Astyanax mexicanus: one gene and its partners. The protein of the gene in region 3 purifies or fractionates together with the protein of the main gene of each other region. This does not show direct contact. Links are inferred from orthologs where the notes say so. Each region holds a gene or a part of one and is shown on either strand. Other genes may lie near its edges.

Region 1 (7,818 bases), on a different chromosome or scaffold from region 3:
CACAACCACAAAAACATATTGGTCAAAAGAAGAAAAAAACAAGAGAGAGAGGTATAAATGTGGATCACGCATACATACCTGTTGCACATAGAGCCACGAACGTCTGGGCATGCTTGCGCAGGATCTGCTTGGTGCCCTGGTGTATCTGCAGCTTGGTGAGGAAATGTTCAATGAAGTCGTGTGGTGTCACTGAGGCTAGATCCCACTTCAGCTTGTTCAGCGCCAGCAGCTCCATTTGCTGTGAGAAAGACACACGAGAACAGAGCGGCGGTTTACATAAAGGACTTCAAAAAGTTCTTCACGCTTCCACCATGTGTGCTCTCACTGAGCAGAAGCAGTCAGTAGTCTAACGGTCGACCACTAGATGGGGTCATATCTCAGGAGCTACAATAGCACTGTGCTATTCAATTGATTTAAGCTATTCAATTAGCAGTACATTTCAACCCACAACCATTTAAATGCTGACATGCAGGGAGTTTCCATTCTGAAACGCTCTCTCTCTCACTTTCTGGGTTTGTCTATGACTAAAAACTAAAATGCAGAACTGCACTGCAACACTGCATGCATCCTGCAAAACCTTAATGCAAGCAAAAAAAGCTCCCAAGAGTGATTAACCCTCTCAACCTCATAAACTTCAGTGTATTACTGTGTTGTTATAATTAATGTAATTAATTACCAAGAGCTCGCATGGACGAATAGAGTTGTCTGTGTATATGCAGAGCTTCTCAGCTGTGAGAGGAACGGTTTCCTTCATCTTGGAGGCCAGGAACATGCAGGCAGCTCCAAGCAACTGCAGCCTGCTCTTCTTAGTGGGCTCCACAGACAAGAATCTGTCCAGGTAGTTCATAGCCAAGGGAAAAACCTCCTCTTCACATTTCTGCTCTTCACACACCTTAAAAGAGAGAAGAGTTTTTGAGTCAGGAGTCACAAAAGTTGAGAAACAAAGCCATAAAGCCGACAACTTACATATGATTTCTAATGTAAGAAAAGAAGAAAATAAATACAAGAAAGACAAGCAGTGAGATTGATTGCACTTAGTCTTAAACGAAGTATTTGTAAAAGAAGACATTAAACATTAGGCCTGATTAAAAAAAAAAAATTTTATTCTCGGAAAAAATGGACTTGTGGAAGTCCCACGTGCTTTGTGTGCACCGGGCATAGCTTTAATACTGAAAAGCCTAAAAAAAATCCATCTATTGCAGTGCAAATAAATGTATTAATAATTAGATTAAAGAGAAGCATTAGCTAGCTGATAACACGGCTTTAGCACCAGAGGCTTTCTAGAGAGCGCGAGCAGTGGTGCACATGCTAGCAGCGGCTGCTTCCTTCAGAATGCTACAAAGGTGTCGTCACAATTTCTAGTTCGTCATCTTTTCAAAAAATATTTAAAAATATAACAAAATTGTTGCGGCGCACCTAAATAGTCTCTAAATATCCTTTGACGTATATTCTATCGCTTCCGATCGAAAAACGTCGAATTTGTGAAGGTTAAAGGGGTAAATTTAATTTAAATGTCACCGACAGTGAAAATGTGGACTGAAGGACATGCTCGACGCCGCGAGCGCGCTTTGAAAAATTAATATAAATTATTCTTGCGCACTAAACCCCACTTTATACACGTCTAAATCCGCCTCACACCCTAAGGAACCGAACCCGAACCGTTTCGGGCTTGTGTTCGGCTTCAGAAACGTAAAAAATAACATTTTTGTACGTCTTGGAGCTTCAGAAGCCGACAAGCGGAGGGGCTCGTGTCTGAACTGAAAGTAAAGTTTTAAGAGCTTAAACCACTACATTGCACCTCAAAATTCACCTCAGTCCCCAAACACTAAGTTAAATGTGCGATAAAGAGTGATTCTCGCACATTGTCTTCAAATGTTATAATCGTTTGAGGTGTTTTTTTAACATATTATTAGAACTTGTGTCGGCGCGGCAGCAAAGATGGCGCATAATAGGCTACTGGCACGAGTGGGATTGCATACGTGTACATCGATATTAAATCGAAATAAATTCGATTAAATGTTTTTGAGGATCTTTCTTTGGGTGGGGAAGAAAACGAAGCGAAAGTGGTCACATCTCTGCGAGGCTTTTTTATTTTTATTTTTTAAAGCGGAAAGGAGACCTCCTCGCAAAAAAAAAATCGCTCGAGACTTCCTATAGCTAACTTACTTTCCTGAGGTGTTTTTTTTATTTTCTCAAAATAAAAAAAGCAAAGTGGCTTAGAAAGTGTATTTCGGACACTTTTCGAGCATTAAAATCCACTTTTATAGCTTTTAAGCCGTGACAAACTGATAGAGAATGTTTTTTTAAAGCGTTTCCTCCGGTTTCTACCAGGCCTGTGCGGAGAGATAGAGGTCCAAAGAGCGTGAGGAGAATCGTCTTGAGAAAGGGAGAGGAAGAGAATAAAGCGCAAAAAAGTTGTGCAATGTTAAAGACATGGGATTAAAACGCCTCTGTCTGAAAACACAAACCTCCAGCATCCATGTGGCGACGATTTTCCTCATTTTAGGCACGATTTCCTTCTGAACGCACTTGAAGTAGTTTGGAGAGGGGAGGTAGGTCTCTTCAGCCCTCAGCATGGTCTGTAAAACTCGGTCGTTCAGCAGGTTCGTGTCGTGGTAGGCTCTCCGCACGGCGTCCACCTCGCAGCACAGCAGCTGGTGCTCCATGATTTTCGGGGTAATCACAGTTTTAGCGGCAGATAATTTAATTGAAGCACTTGATTAAAGCGTGCGTCCCGCGGATGATGCTCTTGTTGCGGCTGCTGTTGTTGCTGCTGCTGCTGCGGTTGCTATACTCAGTGTGTGAGAGAGTGTGCGTCTGTCTGTATGAGAGACTGAAAGAGAGAGAGAGAGAAAAATCCACCGCTTGACCAAAGAAAAAAAATCCTTTGGATGACGTGACTGTTGTTAAGGAAGATCAAAGCGCCGCGCGCGGCCTGAGAGAGATAGAGAGAGAGGGAGGTGGAGAGAGAGAGAGGGAGTGTACGAAGGAGAGAGAACTTTGTGGTCGTTTCTATTGCCGCCAGTGTGGAAATGGGAGGTCCTTTTTTTTTTACTTTTACCCCGGGTGGCGAACGGCTGAGGGGTAGACGGTGGGGGGTAGGCAACAGAGGAGGAGCGAGGGGGCTTTTGAGGAGGAGGAGGTGTAGCTAGGCTGGAGGGGGAGGGGGGGGTATCAAATGAGTATGAGTGAGAGAGTGCTGCTGGTGCTTTTGGTGCTTTTGGTGGTGGTGGTGTAAAGATGTGTAAATGTCTAGAAATGTTGGTAGGGGGCGGTATAACAGGACAAATCACCGACCCTAATTATTATCAGTTAAAGCGCAATGGAGCTGGACTTTCTAGAAACTGTCAGGCTTTAGGTTTATTATTAGTATATTAGTGCGTTATTAGAGTGCGTTTATGCATGTTCACAATTTCTACAGTAATATTATAGGCTCAAAAATAAGTTTAAAATAAAACTGTGTGATTAAAAAATAAAAACAAATGCTGCCATTCTATTACAATTGTATTTGTAAATGCGTTTTCTACTTCTCTTGTGGCGCATTCTTTTAGATACAGGCTGCCATAAAACTTGTGAAACTTAGGGGAAATGAGGTTTTAAACGCTGTAGCAGCTCTTTGTCTTCCACACCAAGAAAAGAGAAAAAGAGGAGGAAGCCGAAATTAGCGTGAACCAATGAGCGCAAACTTCAGTTGCCAGGCAGAACTGCGGCTGGAGCTGTGGAGCTTTTTATCTCAGCCCCTCATTGGGTGAACGTGTGTGGGAATGTGAAAAAAGTAAAAAGAGACAAAAAGACAACAACTACCGCAGTTTGATCACAGACAGGAAGAGAAAAGTAAAGACAGAAGTCAATAAAGAGACTCGCAGTTTAACACTCTGCATTATCAGAAAAGGGGAAAAAAAGTTAAAAACATTACATCAAATAATTTCAAGTTATTTCTAATTAAAGTAGACAAGTCGAAAAAATATTAAAGATTTATTTAAGGGATCTATGATAAGTTTTTTTTTTAAATATATATATCTATTTTTTATGCGTCTCTCAAGTCTCAGACTTGTGTGTGAGTGTGTGATGTTAACAGTTTTGCTCAAATAGGGGCGCTCTCACTTTAAAGACCTCACTGCTGGCTGTCGCTGGGATGAATTGGAGCCTTTGAAATTCCTCACATTCCTGACTGGACACTTTTGGATACCGTATAACATCTAATACAGTCGCGCTAAAAAAAACGGAAAGAAAAGTTGCCTGTTGCTTCTTACATAAACAATGTAAACTTTTTTAAACTCTGTTTTAGATTGCACACGGAGCTGTTTCGCTGCATATACGAAGTTTTAAACCGTGGTTAAAAAAGGAGGCTGTTTAAAATGCAGAAAAACACTGCTGTAAATGTGGAAAAGGGCACAAAAGTTTTCACACAGTAACAAAGCAACTACAAAGCAGTTACATACCAGCATGACACGAACAAGGAAGTGCTAAACAGTTTGAAACTAAAAAAATATATAAAGTATGTTTTTTTGCTAATGTTTTGTTACATTTTTATTCACATATTATAAGCTGTATTATATCTGTAGAAGGCGCTGTTTTAAAGTACTTATAATCATAGTTTATTTTCACAGTAAACATTAACCCTTCTAAATTAAATAACCAAATACAAGAATCATATAACTCAAGAAAGCCTACCCATATTTGCTTTGCTTTTTCCATGTTTACTACTGAATAATTATAAATTTACTACTGAATAATTATAATTATAATAGTACATATGATATGTATTAAAAGTCTGAGATAGATTATATGCACGCATTGTATAAGGTCTAATAAAATGTTAATTTAACGTTAGATAAACCATATAAAGAAAAAAAAGCCTCTAGGTTAAACAAGACATAGATAAATAATCTGAAAAAGATAAATCATATGCATGTAAGTGGGTCTCAACCTGTTACTTGCTAAAATGTAAGCCCATCCAAATATCCTAAAACCGATTCCACAGTTTATATATAGTTCTGCATTGTTCTGCATGTTCACCCTGCACCCACATGCATGAGCTACAACACAGAGTCTTTGTTGAATGAAAGACCATGTGAGTTTGTGCCTGTGCTGCTCTTCCTGCTAATACGGTAAACTGAATAGAAAGTTTTAAGGCCTTGCAAATGTCCCTTTCAGCAGAGACCATTCTCACATGTTCTCAGAGTTTAAAAGACTTGCATCATAAATGCAGAGCAGTGTTTTATTTCTTCATTTAAAAGAAGAACTGGATGCAGTGTTGCTACATTCGTTCATTTCCTCAGATATTTTTAATGAACGTTGTTTCAATATGTTCCTTTTTTTGATCAGGGAGCTCCAGCTAAGCATGAATAAAAGTGAACTCAGATGATACTTCAGACTGAGTTACAATTTTATTGTAACTAGTGAATTTACCATTTATTTAAGTACAGCTGTATAATGTTGTGTCATAAAACCAGGGGGTTAAAAACTAAGGGTTATTAAAATATGGCAGTTTTTTTTTTTTTTTTACAGAAATAATGAATGTGTGTAGTATTGCTGCTGGCCTGTTCTGCAAGTTGAAAGGACATTCTCTGAGTTTCAGAGAAAAAACAGCTGTTTAAAAAGCGATTTCAATTAAACTTTTCAATTAAACTTAACGACTTAATTAAACATAAAACACAAAAACTTACCTTAATAATCAATTGTTTTTGATTATCTGACATTGATTTAATTTTCCTACAAAATGTACGTTATTTGGACACTTTGAAAAAAGTTACCTAAACAATAAATAGATAACAATAAATAGACTCACTCACTCAGAATCCTGACCCCCCACTAATACAGTACTGAAACTCTGCACTACAATGCACAAAGTACTGGTCCCTTCCAAACGGACTTGCACTACACACCCAAACCTGCACTACTGATATACTTGCACTGTCAATTCGCACTTTAATTCCCCATAAACTGTGAACTTTAAGAACTTTACGCACTCATTCACTTTACCAGCCTTAAGCTATATACCATATACCGTATTTGCACTACTGATATATACTATTTATACTGTCATTCCATCTCAATCACCATCAATATTGCACTATTGTCTTACGTATGTTTATTGTGTCTTGTTGTATTGTACATATAGTGTCTCCCACTCTTTTATAGTATATATCTATTTCTTTTTTTACTTATATTTATATATCTATTTCTCCCCACACCACTGCACCTTGTTTCTGTCTCATGTATGTCTATTTGTGTCCCTGCTGTATTGTACCCATAATTTCTCCCATTCTCTTTTACTATATCTATTATCTGTACTTGCTGTAAAATTGGGAAGGAGAGTAACGTAATTTCAATTCTCTGTATGTCCTGTACATATGCAGTATTGACAATAAAACTACTTGACTTGACTTGACTAGATTTTTTAGATAACAGAGTGCAATACATTATATTGGAGTAAAAAGTCTCCTTTACAGTAAAACACATGCCGCACATACAATAAACACTTATTTTATTAATATAATACATTTTAAAGACTGCAGTGAAGAACACAGGATTGTGTTTTTTAATATCTGTTACACATACACTGTTTTAAAACATAATTTAACAAAATAAAAACACAATTATTGTTCTAATAATGGTTAAAAATTCTAACTAATTGAATTAAAGTTTATATGATATAAAGAGTGAAAAGCTAGGATAATAGGATGAACTATATAACTTTTAAAAAACAAGATCTCATTTAATAACAAATAATAACATAAAATATAATATTAATGAAAGAATAATAAAGGAAACAAATACTGAAAGGTAAAAAATATATTTAATTTTAGGTATGTACAATATAGAATTTGATTTAGTATGCAATGTAAGGATGAATGGTCAAGTATGTTTAGTGCAAAAGTATATATATATATATATATATATATATATATATACTAAGTAATTTATTATTCAGTGTGTGTAAGAGTTTACCGCTAAAATGTATGCATTAAGCTAACTCTCAACAACTTTAAAAATGATTAAATGGCTTTTAAATTATTTTGGAACCGAAACCCTTAAATAATGTTTACCTCATATAATGGATTATAAATGCTAACACATAACTATTGTACTGTTTCTTTGCATGTATTTTAATATTATTTTCAAACAAATAATACCTGTCATTAACTCAGAAGGCCTGCATAAATACCATTTGCATGTTATTTATGCATATACGTCAATTAGCCATAACAATAATACCACAGAGAGGGAACATAAATAATATAGACTGTCTGGTTACAATGGCAGCTGTCTAGGTTTGGGATCTATGTTTTAGGCAGCAAGTGACCAGTCCGTACTGCTGGAGAGGAAAAATAGGCAGGCATAAACATTTAATCACAGGGACAAGAACCTATTTGTATTTTAGAAGAAATATTTAGTTTCACAAGTCAGCATGGGGGACATGCCAAACAATCTGCCATCCACATCAAAGAGAAGAGTATCTAATGTACCACAATTCTTCAAAGTGAAGGAAACATTCCATAATATTAGTGAAATGTTTTAATTCAGAGTAAATGTTGAAAAATAAAATGTTAGACTGGGTTTGTATGTAATTTAAACAACTATGCTGTGGACACAAAATTGTTATATTGATATCTTTTATAATATTCAACAGTAACCAGATATATAAAGTACTAGAGACTCAGACTTGAGTAAAAGTGCTCTAATCAAAAAAGCGATGAGAGTAGAAGTTGAAGTGCTCTTTAAGCTCCACACTTACTTTAGGTATTGCAAGTAGTTTAGTAAAAATGTAATAGTGAAGTACTGAAAGTAAAAGTACAGTACTGTGTTATGCAG
Region 2 (7,043 bases), on a different chromosome or scaffold from region 3:
ATAAATAAAAAAACTAAGCAAAAGATGTTTGTGTTAGTCTTCCATGTGTGTGTGTGTATGCATTCGTGTTACTAAGCTACAGGGTCCTTCCCCCACAGCTACATTAAACTGTTCACCTTCTTGCCGCTGGCGGAGGTGGAGAAGGTGATGGAGCAGCAGAGACGGGATCCAGGCAAGAGAACGGCCCACAAACGACTAGCTGCTGAGGTTACCAAACTGGTACATGGCAAGGATGGTCTAGAAACTGCCAAAAGGTGAGAACATTTTTTATAACATCAATTCATACAGTACAATGCAAGTTAATAGAGAGCCTATTTAAGCCGTTGTGCCATGAACATGAATAAAACCACTAGAATGTATGTACAAGAGTGAATGCAAGAAAAGGTTTAAAATCTTAAATGAATATAATAAAACTTATTTGTGCATTTTTGCCCGTAAATATTTTGGTTTTAAAAAGATGTGGCTATTGACGTGCTGATTGGTTGGCAAACTGATTACGTCATTGGCCAAGACAACTATTAAAACATAACAGGAATGTGGAAGCATTGCGTTATTCTGTATATAAGAAAGATTGTAATTGTTTCATTAATCATTTACCAATTTCAAATCTCAGTGGAATGCAGATTTTGTTTTGAGCAGTGTAAGATAAACTCTGTGTGTTTGTATTTGTCCAGGTGCACTAATGCTCTGTATAACAGTAGCATTGAAGCTCTGGAGCAGATGGATGATGTGGAGCTGAAGGAGTTGTTCAGAGAAGCTCCGTTTAAGGAGTTCTTTTTGGAGCCAGGCACCACAGTACTGGATGCCTGTCGGAGGGCCCAAGTCATTCCTGAAGGACCTAAAGGGTACTTTTTAATTATTTGTTGATATATTAAACTGTACTGTTTATGCTGCTATCAAAACCCTGTTGCTCACCTGCCATTTAATTTGGAAGATATTGGGGTAGTTTCTCAGGCAGGGATTAAACCCAGGTTTAGATTACGCAGCATTTTCAATGGACAACTTTTCTTTGAAAGAAAATTATAGTCTACAACTAGACTCAGAAACTGACCTATTGAGTCCTGTTTACCATATTTTTGAACTGCGCACTGAATCATAAGGAGCACTATCAACAAGCGTCTATTTTCTGGTCTATTTTCATACATAAGGCACACCTTATTATAAGGCGCCTTAAGGAACACTAGTAAGAATGCATACTTATTAAGTAATAATTCAGTTCAGTTCTGATTCAGTTCACCTCTGAGGGTGCCTAGGTAAACAAAACTCTTAAAACCGAATTCTTTCAGAGTCAAACGAGCACTGGATTAGTGCTGGGCAGTATGACCGAAAATGTATATCACAGTATTTTTCAAGATTCTATCAGTGTTTTTTTTTTTTTATTCATTCATTGTATGACTAGGCTTTTATATAGGTTTGTGACTTAGGAGTACATAAAATAAAACACTAAGGCTTTAAATTAAGTCTTTGATTACTACTGGATCTAGTTTGTCTTACAAAATTAGACAATATATGAAGAAATCAGATTTTATTAGCAGAAAAACAGCTGAAGAATATAAACAATAGACCTTAAATACGCCATCATCTTTAACAGGACTTCCTTTTAAAAAAAATAGCTAAATATTTTAGTTCCATAAACACTATAAATGGACCTAAAATACTCATTAAGTATTCAAATGAGATATTTCTTAAATGTTCTATTGCACAAGTAAGACACAAGTTTAATATCAATTTACAATGTTTTTTTTTTAATCCATTAGAGGCATTAAAGTATTACAATCAGCCACAATTCCCTTCTTTCCCCAGTTAACAAATAAAAGGGCTATATATAGTTAGCCCTTTCTAATATGGGTGTTTCCATGTTGTACATTCAGTAATAAATTAAAGGACTGGGGAATGTGTTGTCTCCAAAAACGTTTATGTCTATGATGCTATTACAGATGTAATTGTTCTTTGTGATAACACGCCACCTTGAGTGTTTTATTGTTCTACAGTAATTCAGAAAATAAAGACAGAAAGAAGCTTTGATATCAGCAGTTTCTTCTGAAATGTCTGTTCCTCTTTATAGCATTCCTTTTTATTATGTATTTATATACTATGTGTATGTTTTTAGGTTTCAAATGATAACAGACGGCGGTGTTTGGTTCAACCACCAGAGGGCATCCAACCCGGAGCAGGTCCTGGTTCCCGGACAGCATATACTTTCCAATGGACTCAGTTTGATCAGAGTGGGCAAGAAGAACTATTACATCCTGAAGTGGCTCAGTATGTGATTTACTTACACCGAAGCGAATGTCTATATTTATTTAAAGAAATATGGATAAAAGATGCAGTGTGCTGCACAATGACTAACAATCCATACACAAATCGAATTATGCGGGACCCACAAAGATTTTGGGGCGTGTCAGACCACTGGCAGGAGGACAAGCAAAACTACACTAAATCCTGAGTTGATATAGAGAAACAGACTGGCAGAGGATAAAAAGGAATGAAAGAGGAGAGTGTGCACATTTGTGTCTTTACACACTTGTGTGCACGTATTTCAGAAATAGTTGTACTGTTTGTGTGTATATGTAATTCTGAATCACACCACCAGATGTCAGTAAAGGCCTTTTCCATTTTTTGTACAGGTTTTCTGTGTTTCTGTTTTATATTTATTGTATTATGGATGCTTTCCAATTAATTCACTCTATCTGCTTTAGGACCTATTCATCTTTTTATGATCTTTAACTTTGTTAGAATGTCTTTAAAAAAATCAACTGATCTGTTGAACTGTTTCTGATGCAATTCTTTTCAGTTATGTCTTACAGCCCATATTTTGCTTACAGCTAAAAACACGTTATACTAACAGCAATAAAATAAGGTTATATAAGAATTTTAGGATGGCCCAGTCGTATTCCATATGCTAAAATAATTTTTGCCCAGTTTAATTTTTACACTAGTTGGACATTTCAATACTGAAACTGTAGTTGGTTATAAATACAGTATAATGTACACAATGAGAATTTGTCTTACTGTAAGCATGGTTATGGTTTAAAAAAACTGAAAGTTGGAAAAATAAGAAAGGAAAATGGTGTGCCACTGACTTTTATGCAGTTCAAAAAGTGTGTACTTTGCCTGAGCTTTTAAAAAAACAGTAAACAAAAAAAGAAGAAAAATATTATTTTTCCCCCAAACAAACACCAACAAAATCCAACTTAAACCTAGGTAAAAATGCTGTGAGTGTGGGTTTCTGTGCTTTGCTCTGTGAACAGTAACTGTGTTACTCTGTTTGGCTCATTGAGACACACCTATGTCCTAATCAGAGTAGTAGTATTCCTGGAAGAGTCATTTCACTGGTGAACTTTTCACTTCCAGGAACAGACACAGTTCCATTTTTGTTTGCTACGTCTCTTTATTTCTCTCTGTCTACGGAATGCCCCAAATGACTCAGTGTTCGGTATTTCATATTTAAAATTAAACATAACCAGTAACAAAAAAACTGTGCAAATGTTACATGTGTTAATAATTAGACTAACATACTTTTGCTTTTTAATTTAATCAGCATGTAAAGTCTTTTTTTTTTTTTAAACTCCTGGTGTTTTCATGTAGCTACAAACCCCCCAGAGATGATGCATGTGTTTTTACAAATATACTTTCTAGCTTTGGTTGGTTTTGTTTAGAGCTGAAGCTGGATGTGGAGTTGTTTTATTCAGGGATCTATTCAGGAGTGTCAGTAACAGGGTTTTATGAACTGCAGTTGCTCTGGTTGGTTATAATTATTTTAAGAAGAAACAGAAGAAGGCTGTGTGCAGCTTGTGTGGACGGTGTTGGAGAGGTGGTGTGTTGGTTGTTGTTAGTGTAGTAGTAGTAAGCCTACCTTGCAGTGCTGCGTGTGTGTCTGTTTTTTTTTTTCTCTCTCCTCAGGGTGGGGGAGGTGCGCTGTGCCGGAGGAGCTCAGCGTAGAGGGGGCGGGGCCTGTGTCGTCCAGCCAATCAGCGAGCACCTCCGTTTAAATAGCTCTTTGTGTCAATCATTTTTCTCTCCACTCAGCCTCCCCTCTATCGCCATATTGGGCACCGAAAAGCCTGCTGTTATTTTCTTCCCTTTTACTACGAGGCGAGGCTGACAGGAGTGCGCACTTCGTCTCGCTTTGACTGCGCTTTGTTTTGATGGTCTGTGGAGGGGAATTTCTCTCGGCGTGTGTTTTTTCCTCGCGCTCTCACTCTTGCAGAGCATGCACGCGCTTGTGGCGAGTACAGCGTGTGTGAGCGTGAGCGTGCGTGTTTTTCTGGATGCCTGCTGCTGTTGTTGTGCAGCGCGTTGAGCCTGGAGGAAAGCGCCTGTTTTGAGTCGCTGTTTGTATCGGTTATTTTGTGGGTTTTTTTTTTTTTTTTTTTCACACGCCAAAAAATAAATAAAAATAAAAGAACGATGTCTAATGTGCGTCTCTCGAACGGAAGCCCGACCCTGGAGAGGATGGACAACCGGCCGCCCGACCAGCCGAAGCCGAGCGCCTGCAGGAGCCTGTTCGGGCCGGTGGATCACGAAGAGTTAAAGAGGGAGTTAAAGGGACACTTGATGGCGATGGAGAAGGCGTCGACCGAGTCGTGGAACTTCGACTTCTCCAACTTCACGCCTCGGCGCGGCCGCTACCTGTGGTCCCCCGTGGACAGCACGGACTTACCGGGCTTCTACAGCTCGACAGGGAATAAGAGCGTGGATGTAAACGGGAATCACGAGCGGCTCGCGGAGCGGAGCGAGACCCAGACCGAAAGGAGAGACCCGCAACAGAACGTCAAGAACAAGAGAAAAAGACCGTCGTCCCTCGGTACGCAGTGCTAGATCTTATTTTTGTTTCTTCTGTGTGGCGAAGTGAAGTTGTTTTTATTATCTTGTGTGGCGAGTAGAAAACGTAGCTAGCTAACGAGTTAGCCAACTAACCTAAACTCTAACTAGCTAGGTTAACCGACGTATGTAACGTAACGTTACGAGTGTGTGTTAAAGTACCTTAGCAGAAAACGTAAATTACTATTTTAGCCAACTAAACTAAAGCTAGGTAGCTAGTTATCTAACCAACACGCGTACGTGTGTTTTAGTCCGTGTTAAAGTACGTTAACTAACGCTGCGAGCTGTCGTTAGTTTTTTCGTAATAAGTGATCAGCGTTCACAACCTCTTCATTTCAAAATGTAACGTATCCAGGTAAACTAGCGCTACTAGCTGTCCTAGCTAACGTTAGTTAAGTTAACAAAATTTTAACTCTTAATTTAGTAACGTATATTTATTAAAATGTGTTACTGATAAAATGGCGCTTTTACAAGAAAAGTAAAAAAATATAGTAACTTAGTTACGTTAGATATAATATGGCTTTATAAACTATCTCCACTAATTTAAATAAAGATAAAATAAACGTATTTTTAGTTGCATTAGATACATATTTTTAACGTTGAAGACAAAAAATCATTAACGTTAAACCTATCATTCAACTTCTACCCAATATTATTTAAATGTCAATGTCTACACTGCAAGAACACAGTACAAGGTATGATATATAATGTAAACAAGAATAACATACATGTTTGATGTAACCTAAGTAACTGTTATAGTTTAATACAAACAGTTGCTACATATTAAAACAACGTTAAATCAACCTTAAATAATCGCTGCGCACGAACAGATCAGTCCTTACGTCTGAAACTAACGTCGTTTCAGAGCTTTAAAGATGGAAAAATGAACGTTGGTTCAACGTACTTTTGCTGTCTGGCTACTATTTAATTGCTATTTATATAATTGCTCTGGTTTTAGTTTGTGTATTATATATTTGTGTATATATAGCTATAGCAGAGCCGGCCAGGCAGTTAGAACAAAATCCTACCTGTACTAATAGTAATAGTAAAATACTTAACTAGCCGATCTAGCGTTAGTTAGTTTATCTACATTTAAAACTCCACAGCTCGCTAACAAATATACAATGGTCACAGTCTAATAGGTACTTCTTTTTTGTTGGAGTTAGTCAAACATGTCTAGCTCCATTTGTAGCCAGAATCCCTCATTGTGTGTTTTATTTATTTTTTTTATTATCTTTCTAAATTAGATTCCTCGTGTCAGACTAAACGCTCGCGCACCTGTGTGGATGAAGTCTCGTGCCGGCCGGGTTTGACCCAGGCGCTCGATCACACACCCGTGAAGTCGAGCCCCCAGCGGCAGACGTGAGCGAGCCGTGTTGAGGTAAGGAGAGCACCACGTCACCTCACTGTACTCAAACACCACGAGAGCTGATACTACACTCACTGATGGCTATCTGTGTACTGGTCAAAGTGGATCAAATTACACTCCCTCGCTGAATTTTACAACACTGTTTAGCTATGTTCATTTATATTTGCCCAGTTTGATAGGCCTGTCACAATAATTACATTATTGACTTATCGCACAGTATTATGTACATGACCTAAATCATTTTCACTGACCTCAATGTTGTCTGTTGAATCTACTTGGCTCACATTTTAAGTGAACGAGCCATTTGTTAAAACATTTTTTCTGTTTCTGTGTCTGATGAATATATTAAAATCTCTTTCTCATTAAAAGTAATGTGTAAATACTTTTATTTCTATTATCATTAAATCAATGAAATAAAATAGTCTTAAAATTACAATAATATCATTGCTATTGTTTGTGGGGTCTATTACGAATTGGTTATCGTGACCAGGCTTACACCCAGTATTGTAGCAATAGATTCAAAATGGTTGCACATAAACAAAAAAATAAAATTAAGGTAAATGTTTTTACCTTTTGGTCTTAGGTGCTGGGAGCTGGATTACCTTTTGTTTTGTTTTTTTGTTTATATGATATATTTTTTTATTATTTTATCTTATTTTAAACATTAAATGTATTATAATATCTCTTAACTCGTCTTAATCACTTGTCTGCATTCGAGTTAAGGATTCGCATGTTTTCTTCACTCCTGCCGTGCCGTATGTTATCAAACTTTGAGCATTAAATGTCCTTTCCATATTTCATTATGTTTAAATCTATTTATGATTTGTGCAGCTACAAGGCTGTATTTTAA
Region 3 (7,235 bases):
GTAAGAGCTGTAAGGTCTCTATAACTCCAATGGGCAGTAACAAATGAACAATTATTTACTTGAGGAAGAAGGGAGAGGACAAAAAAAACTTAAAAATCACCAGTTTAAATATGTGTAAACCATGTGATCTACCAGATTTCCTTAAGCTTTAAATAGTGAATACTTAAATATAAATAAATTAATCACTGTTCGATTGGGAAAATTAAATAATAATTCAGTGTCAATCAAAACAATTAGCTGTATTAAATTTACACAATATTATGTGATTAATCATATGTCATTATCATATTTTTAAGCAGGTACTACGCTGTAAACTTGCTTTTCAAACTAGAATATTGTAAGACAAAATATAAACATGTTTGCAGGTCTATATTAGGGTACTATGACACAGTTATTGTCATGAACTTTTGCTTTTTGGAAAACACCGTGGATAATGCCACTAAATAAACCTGATTGTTGTAACTCCTGTTTAATTGGATATAGTGCAGCAAACCTTTACACAAATAAGTGTACAATTTATGCAAATAAATATATCAATATGTCACACTATATCAGATACTGTAAACAAGTCAATAAACTGCACTTGTTTAAATAAAAAAAAATTAAAGTGATATTTTATACATAATGTTTTATACTATAAGTAAAAGAATTGTATTTTTTAATGCAATCACAACAGTGGAGTGTAACACTTCTACCTAGAGGGATTAAATGGTTTAAACAAGAGTGAACTTTATTAACAAATTCCTAAATATAAAGGAATAATTAATAATCAGTACTGTTTGACAAAATTATACATATAGCAAAACAATATACTTTGATTATTTTTTTTTCATGTTCAGTTTTGAGCCAACAAAACACAAAAAAAAAAATTACCTAAATAAAAGTGTAGTATAAGCATATGAGAACACATCATAGATATACAAGTGTACACACCGTACGACGTTAGGGTGCTGAAGCTCTTTGAGCAGAGAGATTTCTCGGACGGCTGTGCTCGGGACCCCCTCCTCCTCGCTCTCCAGGCGGATCTTCTTCAGGGCCACCACCTGACCCGTGGACTTGTGACGACCTTTATACACAACTCCATATGTACCTAAGACAGGACAACACACACAGGACAATTCTTACCACCAATAAGACTAACGTACGTAATATAGCATTACTGCTGGTTACAATATGATCACACACTGAATACAGCTCTGGAAAAAGAGACCACTTCAGTTTCTGAACCAGTTTATCTGATTTTGCTATTTAAAAGTATATGTTTCAGTAAAATGAAAATTGTTTTAACATTTCTGCAAAATCCCCAAAAAAAATTAATTTAGAGCATTTATTTCCAGAAAATAGAAAAAAAAAAAGATGCAGAGCTTTCTGATCACAATTTTCATGCATCTTGGCACGTTCTCCTCCACTAGTCTTACACACTGCTTTTGGATAACTTTATGCCACTCCTGGAGCAGAAATTCAAGCAGTTTAGCTTGGTTTGATCATCAGTCTTCCTCTTGATTATATTCCAGAGGTTTTCAATTTGGTAGAATCTAAGAAACTAAGCATTTTTAAGCTGTCTCTTTTTCCAGAGCTGAATAATATAAATCAGAGTCAGGCTAGTTTCTGAAGATACTAATGCACAGTTATCACTCACCTTCTCCAATTTTCTCTATTTTCATGTAGTCTTCCATTTTTATCAGTTTTCTGTGGAGAGAAACACATTCAGTCTTTTAAAAATTTCTGCAGCTGTAGAATGTCATAAGGTTTGTAAAATTACAGTATAGACCAGTACAGTTTTTTTTTTTTTTAAAGACAACTGTATTTATGCACACAGACACACAAGACAATCAGATTCAGACGTACCGTGGCTTAAACTAAACGCAGTAAACAATTACATTTGCATTAAAAAGGATTTTATTGTTATTATTAAAAACATGAATAACTACACATATACTGACTGCATGATTTCAAACAAACATCCAATCTTGGTATTTATAAAAGCCATCAAAATGGGGTTTCATTTGCCTTTACACTGTAGTTTTCCTGCTTAAGTCCATTTGTGTTACAGTAGTTAACATTGCATTACAGAGCTTGGGCTACACATGTAATTAGCTAGTTACTTTATCCTGACATTTTATGTCAACATCTAAAAAAGGTGCATTTTATTCTATAAGATTTACCTGTATATATATATTTGTATCTATTATATATTCTGACTGCCTTTTGTTTTCTTGTTCAGGCTCAGTCGTGTTACAGTAGCTGCTGTTTCTGAACAGCCCTTCGGATAAAATGTTTATTATAACCACAATAGTTTAACTAAACAACAAAAACTTAACAGTTATTTTTTATTTTTTTGGCACACAGCCCAAACTGAGTCCCACTGTAGCTAATTACAGAACTTAACCTACACCATTTTAATGTCATATTAAGTACATAAAACCGTTTAACACACACTCATAAACCTACACACACACACCAGCCTGTGATAAACTGTCTTTCTAAGCTTGTTAACTAGTTAGTTATACATTTGATATTAATTATGTCAAAGAAGACTTCAGCAGAAATTAGGGCTTCATGGTTATACAGTCTCCTGTCACTGTCCTCCATAAGTCACCTAACCTAGGTTATCTAATTTAGATAAAAAGCTACACAAACTATTACTCGTTTTAATGATTTAGCTAATGTTTACTTAAAACAAAAAAACCAACTGTACTTACAGCAGATTTGACCGAGCTAAGCTAAGCTAACGCTAGGCAGACAGCTAGAGTTAAAGCTGAAGCGGATCTGACTACAGTTAGCACTGATGCTAACTCCTCCGCTTTTAACTGAACATTATTACGGACCAAATAAAACATTCGCAGAAAATAGCGCCCGAACACTCACCCGCGTCCTCTAAACACGCTGTCCGGCGGCAGAATAGTGTGTGAAAAAGAGTGAATGTGAGTGTGTGTAAAGGTGTGTGTATGTAAGAGTGAGGGTAAACTTGTCTGTTGGAGAATTCCTCCCGTTCAAACTGACCGCGCTGACGCAATTCAAAACGGACCAATCACAGCACACTGACAGATTTTAAACAGGCCAATCAGGTGGAGGAAGAGCTCCGGCGGGAGTGGTGTACTTTACAGCGCGACCGAAGGATATAATGTCACGAAATCCATACCTGAAAAAAAAAAAAAAAAAAAAAAAAAAAAAAAAAAAAAAAAATATATATATATATATATATATATATATATATATATATATATATATATATATATATATATATGTGTGTGTGTGTGTGTGTGTGTATATTGTAAAAATACACCAAAAAGGGTTGTGTAAATCATTAAAAAAGGAAAAAATGTTTATTAAAAAAAGAAGAAAATATATATTGTAAAATAAGCATATACAAAACATATATTAAACAAAAATAGGGAGGGGTGGTTGGAAAGAAGTCATTGGTTAAAAACTTAGCACTGGTCTGTAGCAATAAAAATAAACTGTAGTAAAGCAGTGCTGGAACATGTAACATGCAACATCTTTAGCTAAGCTTAACATACATTGGATTAGGTCTCAGTTGTTCAGGTAAAGTGAAACAATAAAGTCATTGCTAAGATAATTTTAAGATGACAAAATAATGAAAAAACAAATTTTTACGGGCCATACAGCACTGCTACTGGAAAGTTAAAAAAAGTGAACTGTTCTAAAACTGGTACATATATATGCATGACTCACACTAACAATATGACCCAATTAACACCCGACACCCGTTTTTTTTTTTTTTTTTTTTATCAGCACACTCTTAACTGGACATCCAGATATTTACCAATATGGGAAATATGTCTCAGTATGAGACTATAATATTGTGTGGCCTTGTAATTCCAGCACTAACATGGACACAGAATATGCCACAGATAACCAACTACATATAGGGTAAATAATAACTGTTATTTTTTTAATCTAACTATTCACTGTAAACATAGAACAAACATAGGGCACATTAAAACATAGGGGCAAACCTGCATTATGTATAGGCTTTCGCCAGCTATAAAACATTGACCCAGCCTCAGAGGACCACAAGACAGATTGCACTGGTCCCTTCCTTTAAGTGTATTAATTATGCATGTGTGTGTGTGTATCTAATGGATCATTAAGGGGTAGTGTTTGGACATTAGTGGTGCCTGAAATGTGCCCTCTAATCACTAATGTGGAGTTGTTTACAACATGAGGTATCGCCATACCTGTCAAGTCTCCCGTTTTGGCCGGGAAACTACCGTATTTTACTCCTCTTTCCCGCCGTCCTCCCGTATTAATATTTTCCCGTAAATTTCCCGTATTATATTAAAATTAAAAAAACTTTATTATTGAGGAGACAGGGCACTGACCGATCTGTGTCTCTTAACCAATCGTGGTGCCGGTTCAAGGAGAAAGTCTCGCCTTTCAGGAGAAACAGCCAATCAGCTTGCTGGTTTCGCGGAGCGCAGAGGTATATCAGATTCTGATAATCTAAATTTAGTGTGTAAGTGGTTCACATGTGGTTATTTTAGATTTCTTGTAAACCTGTCTTAAAATGTAAGGAATACTAAATCTTGGTTGGGCTGGTGGGACGACTTTAAGCGGACGGAGGAAAATATCCCTTATTTTTAAATATAAAACTTGACAGGTATGGGTATCGCGCGCCGCCACACGAGGCCACTGCAGCACGACTCATAAGTGTAGTGTAATTCTGTGGGCCACCAGTGGAGTCGCTGTTTCCTCTGTACAGCCTGTTTTCCAGACGGTCATGATCAGGCCATTATTGGGTAAAGGTAAACACACACACCAAAGGCGCTATGTTACAGGTACTGTTACTGTGACACTGTGTTATAGTAAAATTAGAAGACCCCTAACACAAAAGACAAACTGGCTGTCATTAAAAAATGTTCCTCCTAGCACAGCAGACTGTAGTGATATCACATTTTACTCCCATTAAAACAACTTTCTACTAATGTATTACACATTTTGCCTGTCAAAAACAATGATAGTCCTAGAAATATTATTTAAAAACAAATAAATAATCAGTGTTATTGTCATAAACCTCTGATAAAATGCTAAAATATTGCGGAAAAAGTGGACCATTTAACATTTCGCAGTTTTAACAAGACTTGTGTACAAGCCTGACTAAACCAAAACAATGCTTAAAATGTGAGGTTTACATTAGCATACTACTTTAGAAGACGAACATTACACATTACACACATTATGTACCCTTTTAAAAAAAGCAAGCAAAAATAAGTTTGGATAATGCTGGCTGCAAAACAGATGTGACCATGAAATACCTTAAAGGAGAAACCCACTGTAAAATTAACTTGTAGTGGTGTAATGGACATAATGGTGTTGTGAAACATGATAATGGCTATGAACGTTTGGCGAATAGCCCACCTCCATTCGTCCCCAGCATTCCAAAATACGGCGCCTATAGCTGATGCTCCCAATGCTAGTAATAGGGGCATAGTGTTGCCAATCAAATAAAGCGCTATATTTGCACCATTAAAGGGGCGCTAATCCACCTGAATTTAGATGGCAAGGTACTGTGAGTATAAACAGTCTTTTAAAATAAACTACCTGTGCACTTTCAAAGTGTGGAGCTACATTGAGCATGTTATTGGTTTTAAAATAGGGATTTCTTTTTATCACTAGCATTGTAAGCCTGTTGGGAGCATTAGCTAAAAGCACTGCATTTCAGAATGCTGGGGGCAAAAGGAGGAGGGCTGTTCAACAAAAGTTTGTACTAGTTATCATGTTTCACTACACCACAAATGATTTTTCCCTTAACCCTTGTGTGGGGTTCATATTTTTGTTACTCGTTTACTTTGTTACTTGTATTTAATTCAGCAAAATTAAGCAATTTTTACATTAAAATGCTTTACACATGCTTGCTTCACCTAAATTGCAAGCAATATAAACAGCTTACATGGTTAATATTTGCCCTTTACCTTTCTTATGTTACATTTCTTTTAAAAAAGTGCTACTCTTTTTTTTATTAGTTTTTTAATAAAATGTAAAAGAAAATGAATTTAACTCAAGATATGAGTAGAAAATTTGTTTAGTTTCAAATTTACAAATGAAGCAATGTTTATTAGCCCTTGGCCAAATATACTGTATGTAATATAAATGGTTGGGGAGGGGGGTGTACAGTGTGTGATTATCGAAAATGTGTTTTGATATATGTTTTTCACAAAAAATGAGCCAATGCGTTAGAAAAATGAGTTAGAAAAAATATATTTTAGTATCATTTGATGAAACATGAAAACAGGTCCCACAGACCCGAACACCACACAAGGGTTAAGTGTGGCACTTATCACAAATAAACCTTTATATAAATACCTTTATATTTTAGGTAAGTGACGGGCAGAGAATATGATCCTGATGCATAATAAGTTTCAGGCCAAGTGAAGCTGAAGAAACTTATTCTAGTTTTAGTCTGTTTCACCTCAGACAGTCCAGCAGGTACATTCTGACTACATTTAAATGGAAGAGGGGGGACTGGGGAATTTTTGGGTATTTGCTTTTTGGCTTTAGTTGACCTGCATACAGACACAATAGAGGCACTGGAGCGCAGCAGGATTTTATAATTGCAGAGAAATCATTCCCTTCATACAGGAACAAAAGCTTTCATTCAGACCCAGACCCAGAGGAACTGAGTTTAATTAAACACACCCTCACTCCAGCATCCCAAATACATTTATATGCAGATTTACTGTGCTCTAATTGGCTGAGGGGACCATCATGTACTGATGAATAAAGGAGCCTGTTAGATAAAAGCAACAATAACTTAAAATAAAAATGCTCTGGATTCATATGGATTGTAAATAATAATAAATTAATTAAAGCCAATAGATGAGTAATGTATGTCTTTATATATCATGGTTTACAACACAACACAAAAGTTAGATATGTTAGAGTTATCATGACTTTGATTGCAAACAGTATGAACCCAAGATATTTTATGTTTTATCTGCTCAACTTCAACTTTATGTGTTATTAAACATCCATTCCTGCATTTCAGGCCTCAACACTTTCCAAAAAGGCAATGCCAAAGCATTTCCCACTTTGTAATGTTACTGTTCCTTCTTACAACACTTTTTCTACTGAGTATACCAATAAATTAAGTCTACCCTGGATTTATACGGTCTGCCATCAAATACATGTGAGAAAGACATTACTTATTTGCTTTTTCTGATTTGTTGGTATTACAATGTGTAATAACACACACACACACACACACATTTAAC
Region 4 (7,042 bases), on a different chromosome or scaffold from region 3:
TATAATAATGACTTGGTCTTTCATAATAATGACTTACTACCACAAATATGACAAATATGACTGTGTCATAATAATAGCATACTTTCTAATAATATATCCCATCATAATGGGATATTATCCTGATTATGACTTACTCATAATCTCATAATAATGACTGAGGACCTAATAATTATGACTTAATATCTTATAATAATGGCAAAAGAATGTGTCACTGTTTAAATATGTGTCACGCATGCACTGTATTATATTAATGCCTCTGGTTAAATTGAATAAATGTGAATGTAAAGGATCGGAGAACAGTAATGAAAGTGTAATTTCTGTACGAGACGGACACCCTTTACTGCCATGCTGTTTCTGGTTGCCATGGAAACGCTTGAGCAGTGCCTTCAATCCTAATTTGGCATGTCTTGTCCACACAAACACACACACACACACACACACACTCACGGTCCTAGTAAATACGGGTCATTTGGTCGGGATGCTGAGAACCCTGATTGGAATCGCACTGCCTCTAATTACATGCTGCTTTTGTGTAGCACCTGGAAACAGAGGCAGCACTTCCTGATGGATCGGTTCTGTTCTCCCGGGCTTTAATTCACTGACCCGGCCTCGCGGGCACAGCATGAAAGGAAATCAATCCTCTAATCAATTTTTTTAAATGGCTGTTGGGCTTTTGAGACACAGTTGGTGTTAATGCAGTTTTCACATGGGGTTCATACTGAAAATCTGACCTGATGTCATATTTCTGATCCAGGGATTTTATGGCATTATTACAGAGCATTAGTGTTGAACAACAGTACGGGGTCTCACTGTCCTGTTTTTTTCTGTTTTAAAATCACCTGCATATTACACATCTCTTTTAGGAAGTGAGCATGGCTTCAACAGGCCAGTATAGTATCTGTACCCCCTTCTTTAATGGCCACGCTTTTGTAAGAATGTGTGCAGCATGTGGTTTTACATTGTTGATCTCAATGCACTTTTCTGCATTAAAAAATAAGAGACCACTTCAGTTTCTGAATCAGTTTCTCTGATTTTGCTATTTATAGGTTTATGTTTGAGTCAAATGAACATTGTTGTTTTATTCTATAAACTACAGACAACATTTCTCCCAAATTCCAAATATAAATATTGTCATTTAGAGCATTTATTTGCAGAAAATGAGAAATGACAAGAAACCAGTTCATATTCATAAAGTTTTAAGAGTTCAGAAATCAATATTTGGTGGAATAACCCTGGTTTTTAATCACAGGTTTTTTCATGCATCTTGGCATCATGTTGTCCTCCACCAGTCTTACACACTGCTTTTGGATAACTTTATGCTGATTTACTCCTGGTGCAAAAAATTCAAGCAGTTCAGTTTGGTGGTTTGATGGCTTGTGATCATCCATCTTCCTCTTGATTATATTCCAGAGGTTTTTAATTTGGTAAAATCAAAGAAACTCATCATTTTTAAGTGCTCTCTTATTTTTTCCGGAGCTGTATTATACTTTTTTTTAATTATTAGTTATAATAGGTTAGAACAGGTCTATGCTCTATACAAAACACGATCATGAAGTTCTTTGCACAAAATCACTCTCACATAAAGATAAAGAGATCTCACCAGCTTTATTCTTACCAGTTTCAGTCCCTTTTAGAATGAGCCATGTTTACGCTGATTGTTTACCACACATTATAGTTAGCTTGTGCTAAACAGCAAAACATGGGACCTATTTTAATGATCTATAGCGCATAGTGATCTATAGGACGTGTTTGTGTGTCTTTGGTATCGTGAGGGCACAAAAAATACGCCTTTCGTGGTTCGAAACTGTCAAAAGGCATGAACAAATTCTCTTAATTAATCATGGGTGGGTTTTGGGCGTAATGTGAAATAGACCAATCAGTGTGTCAGTTGTCATTCCCATTAAGAGGCAGGTGAGCTCTGACTTTGGCGTGTTCGTATCTTATCAGAGGATACTGACCTGCGTGTTCACAGGTCATTAATTGACTGTTGTCAGGGTTTAATCAGTCAGTGGAGCTCCTTTTCCACCTCCAAGATAGAAACGGTGTGGGCACAGCGGACGGTAGGTTCAGATCCCTCCCTCAGACCGAAATTGTGTTTCTTTAACTGATCTAGTGAGTGGGTAGATCGGTGAGGGGTGGAGCCAGGGTGGTTCTATGCTGGTTTCATTATTGTGACGTCAGCCACCCAAACAGCTCATAGAAGCAAATGATTCCTGACCCAAACTCTTTCAGCTGATTCACAGAAAACGAATGGCTGGATTTTTTTGGTGATTGGAGTGTTTATAGTGTTTATAGGGGCTGTTGTGACCCAAATGAAAATATAAAAGCATGCAAAAAGTAAATTTTACATAATATGCTGCTTCATCCATACAATGACAGATACTAGCATCTGGATGGTATCAATTTCTAAAAATAAAAATAAAAATAAATAAATACTGATTAATCTGAACAAACACACGTTTATGCACTGAAAAATCTCCCAATTCTTTAAATGGTTTAATGATATTATATTATGGGCTGCAAAGGGAGAAATGTGCAGTTTGCTGGCGGTGCATTTGTGAAAGTGAGCCGTCAGCAGTTTTTGATTGTCTTGCTAAAAGTCACACTGTCTGAAACCGAGGGGACAACTTCCTGTGGTGGGTTGTGGTAAACTGAGTGGAGGGTTCCAGATTACAGTGCACAGTCCATACATATGTTATATAGTTTAAGACTTAGTCAAACATCATATATTATAGATTCATATAAGACTGTAAAGGTTAATTTAATTGATATTGTCATATGTAAAGTTAACTATACAGCATTGTATACTGAAACTATCAGCAATAATTAACACAAGATCGCTTAACACGTAACATTTGTTTCATTAGTACTCATGCTGAATTCCATTTTAATTCAGATCTGGAAATTCCAAGTTCCCAGGAGGGAATTTTAGCTGGAATTCTTCACCCATGTCAGATTTCCTACTCAGACCAAATGAAATGACTGGATACACAGTAATATAGAAGTTGAATAAAACAAGAAGAACCAATTCAACTCAGGATTTCATGATTTGATTTTAACTCATGCATTCAATGTTAGCCAAATTCCACCCAAACTGGAAAAAAAGAATGAGTATAATTATTATTGTTATTTATATTATATTTGCTGCACTTTAATGAATTTAACATGTTAAAGCTCACTTTTAAGGCTTTAGTATATTTACCATTAAATCAGCTCATATAGTACCAGTCGAAAATTTAGACACATATTCTTGTTCAACCTTTTTTTGTATTGCTGTATTTAATTTATTAAAGTTGGAGCATAGAGTAAAGAAAAAGCAGTTATAAAGAGGCAGCATCTCTAGAACAGTTGGAAGTTTCCATTCCAGGTTCTACCTCATAAAACTAACTGATAGAATCAGCCAAGAGTGGACAAAGTTGGCATCAAAGCAAAAGGTCCAATCTTATCTTAAAGATTTTAATCTATAATCTATAATATTTAATATTAAACATATTTTGGTGTGTTTTGACTTTTTTGTTCATTTCATAACTGCATATCGTCACTGTCCAATGCAAAACAAATATCTCCAAAACAGCAACGTCTAAACTTTCATTGGATGTCAATGTAAAAATATTGTTTTCCATTTTAAAGTATTTCTATTGGTCCATTCATCAAGAATGGATCAATAGATGTAATCTAATCTAAACTATCCATCGTGTTTCAGGCTCTATAATATCCTGATTACTATTTAAAATCTATATTCAACACACTTTTACAACTTTTTTTAAACTTCAAATGTAAATCCCGCCCAAAAATATACCTTTAAATGTATCGACCAATAGCAACAACATGGGAAACGCGCAATTCGAAATAGCATCCGTCTGTCCAATCAGAGGAGCGGATTTCAGTATTCGAGGCATACACCAATTGTACGCCGACTTGTGCGTCTGCGCAAATCGGCGGGGCGGGGTTTTGAGGGGCGGGCCCGGATTGTAGCCTATGAGCTCCCGAGGTTGATGTTTAAACCTTTGCGCATGGGCGGGGCTAAGTGCCTGGGGCAGGATCTGAGGCTCAGGCGGTGTGCTTAAAATTAATCAACAGCCCAGCACTGGGGTTAGCGGCTCCCTGTAGCTTATACTGTTTAATATATTTATAAATATATTTATATATATTCAGAATTTAACTGAAAATTGTGTATAATTCACTAGTTTCGGGGACTAGTTACCAACAGGGCTCATCTTCTACTGAAATGAAAGCGGGCGGTAAGTGATTCAGATGAGTTTATCTGAGTTATGTTGATACAGTTAGCTTAGGTTAGCTAGCGTTAGCACTGATTCAGCTCCAATGCCTAGTGTTATTTAGTCAAACTGCCTATTTATGTATTTGTTTATATTTTCAAAAACATATTTCTGTTAATGTGGGTTGCTGATAACTCTGTTTAAGGTCTGATTTTGTTTAGCTAACATTATATTGTAGGTTACAGATAACATACAAGTAACCTAGGTTAGGTAGTTAACGTTAACTAGCTAGCTAAGGACTCAAAACTCAAACAGAAACAGCCAAGAATATAAAAATAATGACTTTAAATAAAGCTTTAGCTTACTCAAATCTTTTAAAACAATATACTAATCAATATAATCGCAAATATAGTTAACCTACTAGTTATAGCTTCTCAACCAGGAAGCTAAGCTATAGGTTAACCTTACGTTAGCTGTTGGTGGTTTAAATAAGTAAATATATCCCACATCATATAAAGACTTTTACTTGTATGAAATTTTCTTAAAATCTATCGAAATCTAATACTATAACCAAATTAAATTAATCATTTTAAATATAATGATTGCTAATGCTTCACAACTCTTTAGCCCTAGTTTTTAAGGAGGGACTTTTCAAATGATGTAAGCTAACTATAGCTTAGCTAGCTAACTAAGTTATAGCTGCCGCTGGTTCATATAATTACAGGCTGTATAAATGTGTTTTAAGTAGTTAAATCATATGATTTTCTTATTATTAAAGTGGGCTAAGGAATACTAAGTTAATTATGCAGCTTCATAGCTAAGTAAGTTAGCTATAACTGTTGTTGGTTTATCCAGGCTAAGTGACTATGTTTAAATATGTGGCTAAATATCTCTCATCATATGAAAATTCGGTTAAGTAGATGAGCATTTTAAGTGATATAAAGATAGTTAGCTAATGCTTTAAAACACTGTAGCCCTAGTTTTTTGTAAGGATGGACTTTTCAAATGATCTAAGCAACAGTTTGTTAGTTAACCTAGCTAACTTAGCTAGCTAAGGACCCAAAACCCAGCCAGGAACTTCCAAATAATACCAATAATTACCATTTTAAATATAACTTGAGCTAACTCAAATGTTTTTTAACAATATAACCTACTAGAATATGTAGTTATTAGTTATATCTTCGTATGGCTAGGGAGATGTAATTAACAGGCTATGTGACTGTGTGACTTTAAGAAGCTGAACTAAATAACGTTATATCTTGCATAATATTAAAGCTTCTAAGCAACATTTTATGAAATAACCCCAAGTAGGGTATTTGTTAGTTTAGCTGTCATTGAGTCTCCTTTAGAATTCATAACCAGCTGATTATTTTAAATATAATAATAAGTAATACTTTAAAACTCTTAAGCCCTAGATTTTAAGGAGGGAACTAAGTAGCTTAGCTTGCTAGCTATCTAGGAGAGCCAGTTATAGCTCACTAAAGCTGTTGGTATCTTACTAAATACAGGCAGTGTAAATGTGTTTTAAGTCGTTAAGTCATATGCTTTTCTTATTGTTAAAATATAATAATGTATAATAGTTTTTTTTAAGTAGCTTCATAGCTAGTTAACTACTTTCATATATTTATATGAAATAAACAAGAGTATTTCTTAGTTTAGCTATGGAGTCGCTCCAGAATTTATAAATAGCTACTAATTTTTAATATAATAACTAATGCTTTAAAAGTCTCTAGGCCTTGTTTTTAAGGAGGGACTTTTCATATGACTTCCGATTATATAACTTAGTTAAACTAACTAACAAACACTTTTCACACATACAGGCTAGCTATCTAGAACTATAACTGGTGGTTCATCCAGTTGGTAACTATGATTTGTGTTAGTTATCATCCATCATCATTGCTAAATTTTCTTCGTTATCAATAAAGTAACATTATCTGTATATCTGTCTGTCCATGATGCTAGGGCAAAACTAACACTCTGGATTTCATGTTAATGCTATTTCCCTACACTTCTATTATGTGTTTTATTTTGTATATTCATCTTGATATATATATATTTTGCTCTTATTTTACTTTCATTCTATTATATATTTATTTTGTTAAAAATAGTTTTTTGGGTGGAACTGGATTGTAAGATTACAATTTCGTTCCACCTTATTTACCACATGTGATGTGAGTGACAAAGTTTCCTTGAATGCCTGTAAATCATAGGAGTTCTTTATTGTGACGTCTATTAGGAAGTACTTACAACGTATAAAAACTTGTATTAATTACATTACATTTGGCAGATGCTTTTTTCCAAAAGCGACTTACAGTAGTGAAGTACAAAAGTAATAGATGTTAAAAACATCTTTATATAGGGCCTAAAGGAGGTCAAAGGGAGATAATGGGATAGAGGAGTGAAGGAAGGGAAGTAGTTAAAAGTAGTTAGTTTGTTAATCAAACCTTGCTAACTTGGCTATCATGAAGTCTCTTCAGAAACTTTTTTTTTTTTTTTTTTTAACAGAAGGACTTTTTCTAGTTAGGGAACTAATGTCATATCAAGCTATTACTGCTGATGGTTTACTATGGCAAAACTATTTCAGTTGTATGTAAAAAAAATCTTAATATATGTTTATTAATGTCTAAATCTAATTTTTCTCATTTTTAATTTCCAGTGCTTCACTGTCGGTGCTCTAAATGTTATTCTCTGCCTGCGAGGAAACGGGTCCGAAAGCAGACCCGCTCCCTGACCCTGCTGTCCCTTCCTGAGGAGGTTCTGCTGTATGTTCTGCAGTCCCTCTCCGCCGAGGATCTGCTGGCTGTCCGAGCTGTGAGTGGAGACAT

What was found.
Region 1: the proteins of cdk1 (region 3) and ccnd1 purify together in Homo sapiens (affinity purification with mass spectrometry; 4 studies listed by BioGRID and IntAct, counting the BioPlex papers as one, with this or other methods). This does not show direct contact. The link is inferred for Astyanax mexicanus from reciprocal best matches to the Homo sapiens genes CDK1 and CCND1.
Region 2: the proteins of cdk1 (region 3) and cdkn1bb purify together in Homo sapiens (affinity purification with mass spectrometry; 8 studies listed by BioGRID and IntAct, counting the BioPlex papers as one, with this or other methods). This does not show direct contact. The link is inferred for Astyanax mexicanus from reciprocal best matches to the Homo sapiens genes CDK1 and CDKN1B.
Region 4: the proteins of cdk1 (region 3) and ccnf purify together in Homo sapiens (affinity purification with mass spectrometry; 3 studies listed by BioGRID, with this or other methods). This does not show direct contact. The link is inferred for Astyanax mexicanus from reciprocal best matches to the Homo sapiens genes CDK1 and CCNF.

What each region holds. Positions count from the first base shown.
Region 1 is NC_064423.1:33,877,837-33,885,654, forward strand, and holds the start of ccnd1 (G1/S-specific cyclin-D1), read right to left. Parts: upstream 3,020-7,818; 5' UTR 2,667-3,019; coding exon 2,469-2,666; intron 893-2,468; coding exon 677-892; intron 239-676; coding exon 79-238; intron 1-78. UniProt on the Homo sapiens protein: Regulatory component of the cyclin D1-CDK4 (DC) complex that phosphorylates and inhibits members of the retinoblastoma (RB) protein family including RB1 and regulates the cell-cycle during G(1)/S transition.
Region 2 is NC_064409.1:49,297,321-49,304,363, reverse strand, and holds the start of cdkn1bb (cyclin-dependent kinase inhibitor 1Bb), read left to right. Parts: upstream 1-4,040; 5' UTR 4,041-4,410; coding exon 4,411-4,807; intron 4,808-6,071; coding exon 6,072-6,190; 3' UTR 6,191-6,205; intron 6,206-7,043. Other genes in the region: yars2 (tyrosine--tRNA ligase, mitochondrial), read left to right, coding at 99-254, 675-845, 2,111-2,270. UniProt on the Homo sapiens protein: Important regulator of cell cycle progression. Inhibits the kinase activity of CDK2 bound to cyclin A, but has little inhibitory activity on CDK2 bound to SPDYA. Involved in G1 arrest. Potent inhibitor of cyclin E- and cyclin A-CDK2 complexes.
Region 3 is NC_064421.1:44,353,859-44,361,093, reverse strand, and holds the start of cdk1 (cyclin-dependent kinase 1), read right to left. Parts: upstream 3,027-7,235; 5' UTR 2,869-3,026; intron 1,690-2,868; 5' UTR 1,677-1,689; coding exon 1,640-1,676; intron 1,091-1,639; coding exon 934-1,090; intron 1-933. UniProt on the Homo sapiens protein: Plays a key role in the control of the eukaryotic cell cycle by modulating the centrosome cycle as well as mitotic onset; promotes G2-M transition via association with multiple interphase cyclins.
Region 4 is NC_064426.1:40,349,062-40,356,103, forward strand, and holds the start of ccnf (cyclin-F), read left to right. Parts: upstream 1-4,033; 5' UTR 4,034-4,228; coding exon 4,229-4,241; intron 4,242-6,873; coding exon 6,874-7,028; intron 7,029-7,042. UniProt on the Homo sapiens protein: Substrate recognition component of a SCF (SKP1-CUL1-F-box protein) E3 ubiquitin-protein ligase complex which mediates the ubiquitination and subsequent proteasomal degradation of target proteins.